Linked DNA regions of Oryctolagus cuniculus. The protein of the gene in region 2 interacts with the protein of the main gene of each other region in a pairwise test. Links are inferred from orthologs where the notes say so. Each region holds a gene or a part of one and is shown on either strand. Other genes may lie near its edges.

Evidence for each region.
Region 1: the proteins of PGBD1 (region 2) and SCAND1 interact in binary tests that used the Homo sapiens proteins (3 or more experiments, as listed by UniProt). The two-hybrid records come from large-scale screens. The link is inferred for Oryctolagus cuniculus from reciprocal best matches to the Homo sapiens genes PGBD1 and SCAND1.

Annotation. Positions count from the first base shown.
Region 1 is NC_091442.1:22,296,097-22,299,571, reverse strand, and holds SCAND1 (SCAN domain-containing protein 1), read right to left. Parts: upstream 2,152-3,475; 5' UTR 1,419-2,151; coding exon 918-1,418; 3' UTR 819-917; downstream 1-818. UniProt on the Homo sapiens protein: May regulate transcriptional activity.
Region 2 is NC_091436.1:153,745,596-153,749,605, forward strand, and holds part of PGBD1 (piggyBac transposable element-derived protein 1), read left to right. Parts: exon of another isoform or gene 1-762; 5' UTR 763-776; coding exon 777-1,172; intron 1,173-2,042; coding exon 2,043-2,187; intron 2,188-3,642; coding exon 3,643-3,731; intron 3,732-4,010.

The sequences.
Region 1 (3,475 bases), on a different chromosome or scaffold from region 2:
TAGCAGGGAGCTAAAACCCTATCTTTAGCGGAAGCCTGCTCTTGCCCTCTAAATGGATATTTTGCAGCAAAGCAGAAACAACCTGTGTCAGGAAATCCCAAGAAAGTATTCAAAGTACTTGTGAATCCATTTAAATGTTTTTCTTTATTCAAAAGCAAAATGCCCATACCAGCTTTTAGTCCAGTCTGGCTCATGCTTTTTGGTGCAAGCTGCAGATGGACTATAGTGCTGATTGCTGGAAGCAGGTCTCGCACCTACTGTGTTCAGGCCCTGCTGGGTGGGACCCGAGGAGCCCCTCCTCGAGTGGGCAGAGCCTCAAGAGAGGAGGAGTCCCGGTTAGCACAGATTTTCCTCCTTTCTTGCCAAGTTCTTTTCCCTCTAAACAATTAAGCTGATTAAATTAGGGGCCAGCTGCAGAGAAGTTAAAATGAATAGCTTCAGTAATGCAAACCATCCTTTCGTTCACACCAGCTCCTCCATTTAAACCCTACCAGGAGCCTAAAATTTTGCAGCGGGGGCGCTAAGTCTGGAGGCATAAACCAGAGTTCATCAAGAACTAGTCTCTCTGCAAGGTGTAAAAGCACATGGCAACAGCCCCGGAATTCGGGCCTTAGGGAAGGAAGGCAGGTTAGCGTCTACCCGCAGGACTCCACAATCCATCATCCAGGTGGTCCAGGCCTGGTCAAACATGCAAGGACCCCACAACAGCTAAGGCAGGCCCAAGGACTAGGAAATGGAGGCCTTCCGCGCGCTCCTGCTGGGAAACAGGCTCGGTGAAACTACCCCAATAGAAGACGAACGAAAGAGACACACCAGACCACGGGAGCTGCCAAACTCTATTTCATTCACAGAGTGGGGAGCAGGTTCTCGCCGCCCCACGCCCCACCCGCCACGCCCTGGGACCGCAGCCCCGCCGCTCAGCCGGTGATGCGCACATCGGCGCGACGACGCAGCCGCCGGGCCCGCGCCGCCTCGGGCAGGATGGCGAGCAGCTGCTCCTGCACCAGCATCTGCACTATCTGCTCCTTGGTGCGGATGTCGGGCCGCAGCCACTGGCGGGACAGCTCCCGCAGCTGGCGGAACGCCTCGCGGGGCCCCGCCGCGTCCTGGTAGCGGAACTGCCGGAAGCGCTGGCGGAACGTCTCGGGCCCGGGCCGGGAGCCGCCGGGGCCCGGCGGGGAGCGCGGAGCGGCCTCGGCCTGAGGCGCAGAGCCCAGGGGCAGCTCCAGGGCCGCGGGGGGCGGAGGACTCGCTTCCTTGACGGCGGGCTCCAGGGAAGGCGGTGAGGCCTCTAGAATGGAGGGGCCCGCGGAGTTACGCTCGGGGTCTGAGCTCGGGCCCGCTTCCTCCTCGCGTTTCTCCAGCGACGCCGCTGAGGGACTCCGGGCGGCCCCCAAGCTCGGCTCGGTCTCCGCCATAGCTCCGGGCGTCACTCTTTTGTCCAGCAGCCGTGGGCTCAGCACTGCGTCTGCGCGGGGGCGGGGTGAGGAGGGAGAGAGACGCGTCCCGCTGAAGGGCGACCGAAGAGGGAGGCGACTCGGGACGGGTGACGAGGGCGCGGAACTTACCTGCCCGCGGAGCTCCAGGCGCAGCCGGAAGCGGAAGCCTCGCGAGGCTCCTCTGTGATTCCGCGGTCGCGCGAGCGCCCGGAAGCCGAGGCCGAGCTTCCGGAAGCAGCGCCGCGCCGCGCCGCGGTCGCGAGGCCCTGGAGGAAGCGACGCGCTGGAGGAGCCGTGAGGTACTTTTAAAGGAGAGGGACCCGGGCTGCGGCCCCGGCAGCGCCTGGGCTGGCGGTGGGCGCGAGGATGCGGTCGGCCAGGCGAGGTGGTCTCGCGTCGGCGGCACCCGCCCTTAGTGCGACGGTGACAAAACCCGACCCGGTGAATGCTCTGCCGTCTTTTATTTTTTTGTGTGTCTTCTGAAGCCAAGCGACAGGCGGCTCTGAGGGTTTAAGCGTTGCGGGCTGGCAGTGCGTGGCCCGCGCGGTGGCCGCCAGTCACAGGTGTCACCTGGGCCCGTGAGGTGAAGCCGGTCCGCCTGGAGACGTGCTCCTTCGTAGGGACAAAATGCAAAACGCCCCAATAATCGTTTATACTGTGTACATGTTGGAATGTAACGGTTTGCCTATATGGGCTCAAATAAAATATGTTATTAAACTTAAATTCATCCGTGTCTTTTTACTTTTTAAGTGCGGCTATTGGGAAAATTTACATTTATATTTCTGCCGAACAGCACCGGGCTGGAGAGTGGGGGTCAGAGTGCCTTGGTGGAATCCCCTTTGCAAGGTTTATTATCTGGCAGTAATGGTGCCTACCCAGAGCTGTTGCGAGGATTGAATGTGGGAAGCCCCTGGGAAGAAAGGACTTTAAAATACTATTCTCATTGAGCAAGGTGTTCCTGTCTCTGAGCTACAGTTTCCTGTAAAACGTGGATGCACTAGCACCTACCTCATAGAGGTTATTGTGAGAATCCAGTAAGATTAATGTGTGTAAAAGTACGGAACTCGCAGCCCTTCTATGAATGGATCATGTGGGTCCACAGGCGACTCACAAATAGGCATTGTATCCCTGTTGTACGGAAAGGGAAACAGGCCCAGAGAGGGGCAGAGACCCTCGTTTGCCCCTTGGGTCCTTTTCAGCCCCATGCAGGAAGGGTGAGCGTATTCAACAACCGTCCACACACCAGTGGCCCTGGGATCAATAGGAAACCTGCCCTCTTGCAGGGTGACCTTGGATGGGAAGATGGAGATGGTCAGGGAACAAGTTCCAGAGCCTGAAAACCTTGGAAGCCATCACGTGGGTCTTTAATGGTTTTTTAGTTGTTGATACGTAAAAATTGGTAAATTTCATATGCAAATCTGGTTTTCCAGCTTTTCTTGAAAAAAAGTGAAAGAATTGGACTCATTCCCAGCAGAAGCTGAGTAAACTTCCTTTGACCCAGATGCTCTGTCTTGCCTGGTCCCGGTTCTTGCTGCTGCTCCCTAGTCTCTGAAACAATGTTTGCATTTACTCTTGCTCTCAGGCTGGTCTCCCCAGAGCTGGGGAAATGAAACTCCAGGTGGAGCTGGTGTGTGTTACACCTGCTTGCTTCACAGCTTCTCCTGACTGGCCCCTGACAGTTGGGTTTGCTTTCCCCAGTGAACCACGGTCCTATGCCCTGTGTGGGAACAAATAATCCAGCGTTGAGGGAGCATACAAACCCTGCTGCAAAGACAAGGAGCCGTGAAAGGCTTCCCAGGAGGGGGCCTTCAAGCTGAGCCTCAAGAAGAAAGGGTGGAGTTGGGGGGCAGTCCAGGCACTGCCTGCACCAGGGCACATAGAGAGGTAGAGACAGATGCCCTCATTCCTCATCAGAATTCCTAGGTTCAGTACCCAGCTCTGGCTTCCAACTCCAGCTTCCTGGTAATGTGCACCCTGGGAGGCGGGCTCAATAGCTCAAGTAACTGGGTGTCTGCTACCCATGCGGGAGACCTGGC
Region 2 (4,010 bases):
TGGTCTCTTGTCTTTTAATTTCATTTTTCCATTAACTTTTTGAAGTATCCTCATATAGCTGCATTCAGCTGGTGAATCATCTGGGCACTAGGCCTAGGTGGGCTTTAGCTTGGAAGCCTTGGTTTTGATCCACATGAACTCTCTATATGGCCAGCTTGGGCTTCCTCACAGCATGGCAGTGTGCCAAGAGCTATAGGGGCATTTTCTCTCTTTCAGTGTCATTTCTACCATTCTTCATCGGTTAAAACACATCAGGGAAGGAGAAATAGACTGCCTCCTACTGGAGGAGTGAGTGGAAAACTGATTGCAAAAGGTGTTTGGGGATAGGAGACTTAGAGTCTACCACACTAACATTTAAACTAAAATACTCAATATGCAGAGATAAGTGAACTTCAGGACTGTATTATCCATCTACAAAGACACCTATGTAGGTCTTCCCCAGTAAAGTGACCCCTTTCCTCTGCTGAAGTGTAAGGGGCTCAAGCATTCTTGTTAACCCTTCTTCCCTCATTCTGTATCCCTTTTCTCTGGGTTCAACCCCTTAGTGTTCAAGAAATACTTAGGGTTCGCTTCTCCAATAGTAGAGGCAAGCAGTCTCAGCTTTTGAGTGCGTCCTACAGTGGAGACAAAGATATAAGTTAAGTTGCACAGCTTTGAAGCTTTTGTAATGTACATGTTATTGATCAGTTCCTATGCCTTAGATGTGTATTTGGGAAAACACTTCTGGAAGCATAGACCTTAGATAAGTGAACCTTTTTCTAGCCTCTAAACTCAACATGTATGAAGCTTTGCCAGGCTCTGCTCCTGAAAATGAAGACGGCCTTGTGAAAGTGAAGGTGGAAGACCCCACCTGGGAGCAGGGGTACAGCTCCCAAGAGGGCAGCCCCCACACTCAGGAGCTTTGCCGCCTGCGTTTCCGGCAGTTCTGCTACCAGGAGGCACCTGGTCCCCGAGAAGCTATGGCACAGCTCCGAGAACTTTGCCGTCAGTGGTTGAGACCAGAGATGCACACGAAAGAGCAGATCCTGGAGCTGCTGGTGCTGGAGCAGTTCCTGACCATCCTGCCAGAGGAGCTGCGGGCCTGGATGCAGATGTATCCTCTGCAGAGTGGGGAGGAGGCAGTGACCGTGCTGGAGAGTCTTGCGACAGGACGTGCAGACGCAGGACAGCAGGTGGGAAGGGAGTGTGTGAGATGGTGTGGAAGAAGAAGTGGAAACGTGTGTCTGTTCATTTTTAACTTTTTATTTAGAAATAATTTATAACCTATAGAAGCATTGGGAGAACAATACAAATAACGTTCACTCCTCACCCAGATTCACCGGTTGTTAACATTTGTTTCATGCTGTGTTTGTTCCCCTGTCCTGCACATACTCTTTTCAAGTGTGTTGTCCCAGTAGTGTTGTTTGTAGAATGAATTATATTGATCCAGCATATAAGCTAGCATTACATGTTGCATTTAGTTGCATGAATTTGCTCAGTCTTTCTCTGTCATGACATTGATGTTTTTGAAAGATGTACTCCTGTTTTATTGGAGTTTTTGATTTGTTTTATATTTTCTCATGATTAGTTCTAGCCTGTACATTTTGGCTAGCATGTCATAGAGCTGATGTATTCTCCTTAGTTTAGCACTTCAGGAAGCAAACATAATGGTTTATCCCACTACTGGTGAGTTTACAGTGGAATCTGACAGATTTCCCCATGAGAAAATTACCATCTTCCCTAAGTAATTTGTGGGAGACCTTTTGAGACAGTGTACTTACCCATTCACACACTGGTTTATCATCCGTCTGTTTTTTGTGTCTCTTTTTCTGGGCAAGGATCCTTTGTCTGTCTTACCTGCCATGTTTGCTGCTGCATCCCCAGCACATAGAACAGGGCCTGGCTCTTTGTGGGTATACAGGCCATATTTGCTGAATAAATTAACGCCTGTATCCCACTTGTAGTGTCTTTAGAGGATTAAATGGAGTTTGTGGTAATCCCTATCTGCTGTTTAGTCCAGTTCCCTTTAGGATGCTTTTTCAAGGTGAATCGTTTGTCTCCAGGCCTCTTTCTACATTCAGGGACAAGACATGCACCTAGTGGTAACAGAATATCAAGGAACCTCTTTGGAGTGTCAGGGTCTCCAGCTGTTGCCTGAGGTAACCACCCTGAAGTGTGAACCTCCACAGCTTCCCCAAGAAGTGAGTGGTGAGTGCCAGAGGGTGAGTTTAGTGAGGACAGAGGGACCAAGCCACCAATAGCTGCATGTCTTCTTAGTAGAAACTTGTGTGTATCTTCAAGTTTTTGTTTCTGTTTTTATATGCATCGTGAAATGATTACCAGAAGTTGTCATTGTCTGTTACCTCACAGTTAACCTCATGAGTGTGTGTAAGAATATTACATAAGACCTCCCAGCAAATTTCAAATATGCAATATGTTGTTATTTGCTATAACCATATTATGTGTTACATCTGCAGAACTTACTACAATTTTGTACCCTTTGACCAACATCATTCTGTTTTCTGTCTCATCCTATATCTAAGCAGGCTTTTAAAATCTGGGAATTGTAAAATGTTAGACTTCTAAGGTCTTATTCATACCGTCAATTAATAGTTGTGCCAGCACCGTGGCTCACTAGGCTAATCCTCCGCCTAGCGGCGCCGGCACACCGGGTTCTAGTCCCAGTCGGGGCGCCGGATTCTTTCCCGGTTGCCCCTCTTCCAGGCCAGCTCTCTGCTGTGGCCAGGGAGTGCAGTGGAGGATGGCCCAAGTGCTTGGGCCCTGCACCCCATGGGAGACCAGGAGAAGTACCTGGCTCCTGCCATTGGATCAGCGCGGTGCGCTGGCCGCAGCGCGCCGGCCGTGGCGGCCATTGGAGGGTGAACCAACAGCAAAGGAAGACCTTGCTCTTTGTCTCTCTCTCTCTCTCTCTCACTGTCCACTCTGCCTGTCCAAAAAAGAAAAGAAATTAGTAGTTGTGAAAACTGTACAGAAGAGAATTTAAATGACTTGTCTGGTGTCAACAGAGCCAAATCTACCTCTTGAATTTTAATCTCCTAACATTTGACCAAAACTTTCTCTACCACATGTCTCTATTCTACAGTTCTAATTATACTCTACCAAAAAACAGAGTGGCTCAAGCATAGGCTGGAATGGATATTGTGTTATACTGTACTACTCCACAGGAAGCACTCATTTCCCCAGCTGTTAGTAGAGTCGGGCAGAGGCTGTGGCTCTTGGTCACACCCCTCTGTGGGAATTGCTCTCAGTAGATTGGCTGCTGCTCCCAGACGTCCTACATCTGCTTTGCCTTGTCTCTGCTCCCTGTCTTTCCATTCTGTGTTATCTGCTTGCTCTTAGCTTTTTTACCTTTCTTCCCCTCTTTATTTAATCTTGATTGTTTAGTTTCTCTTTATGTATGTGAAAATGCATCCACTTACTACGAGTTTATAAACTCCACTCCGTTTTGTGGGTGGGACTTTATAAAGTTGTAGAATTTCAGGCCCCTGACACAGTGAAAATAGCTGCGGTGCTCTATTTGAGACAGTAAGGTCCACATCTCAGTTTGGATATTTAGCAAATGTGAGACTCGGGGTGGGCAACAAAGGGTACTCCTAAAGGTCATCTTGTCTCACTTAGGACTCTTGTCTCCTTGCTCTCCAGGGTTTGCTCCTCAGGGACCAGCCATTCTCCAGGAAGAAAGCTCCAGAGACAAGACAGCAGTGCCTGAGCTAAACCCATCCAGGTTCCAGGTGAGCAGAGTGCCCAGGCTTGTGGAAACCTCAGTAGCAGCCCTCCTCCTAACTGGTTCTTTGCTCTTCTGTCGGCTCACGCTCCTTACCCCGAAAACATTTCAGGTGGCACAGTGCATCTGCTTTCACTGTGTCACGGAGTGTCACAGATCGTGTGTATGTCATCCCAGGGCTTTTGTTGATTACATGCTTTTACCTCGCTTCATACCATGCTTAGAGGGTGCATCCAGACCTCAAGGTATGGCAGGCAAGGGTGGAGTGAGGCCCCTGGTTTCCAAA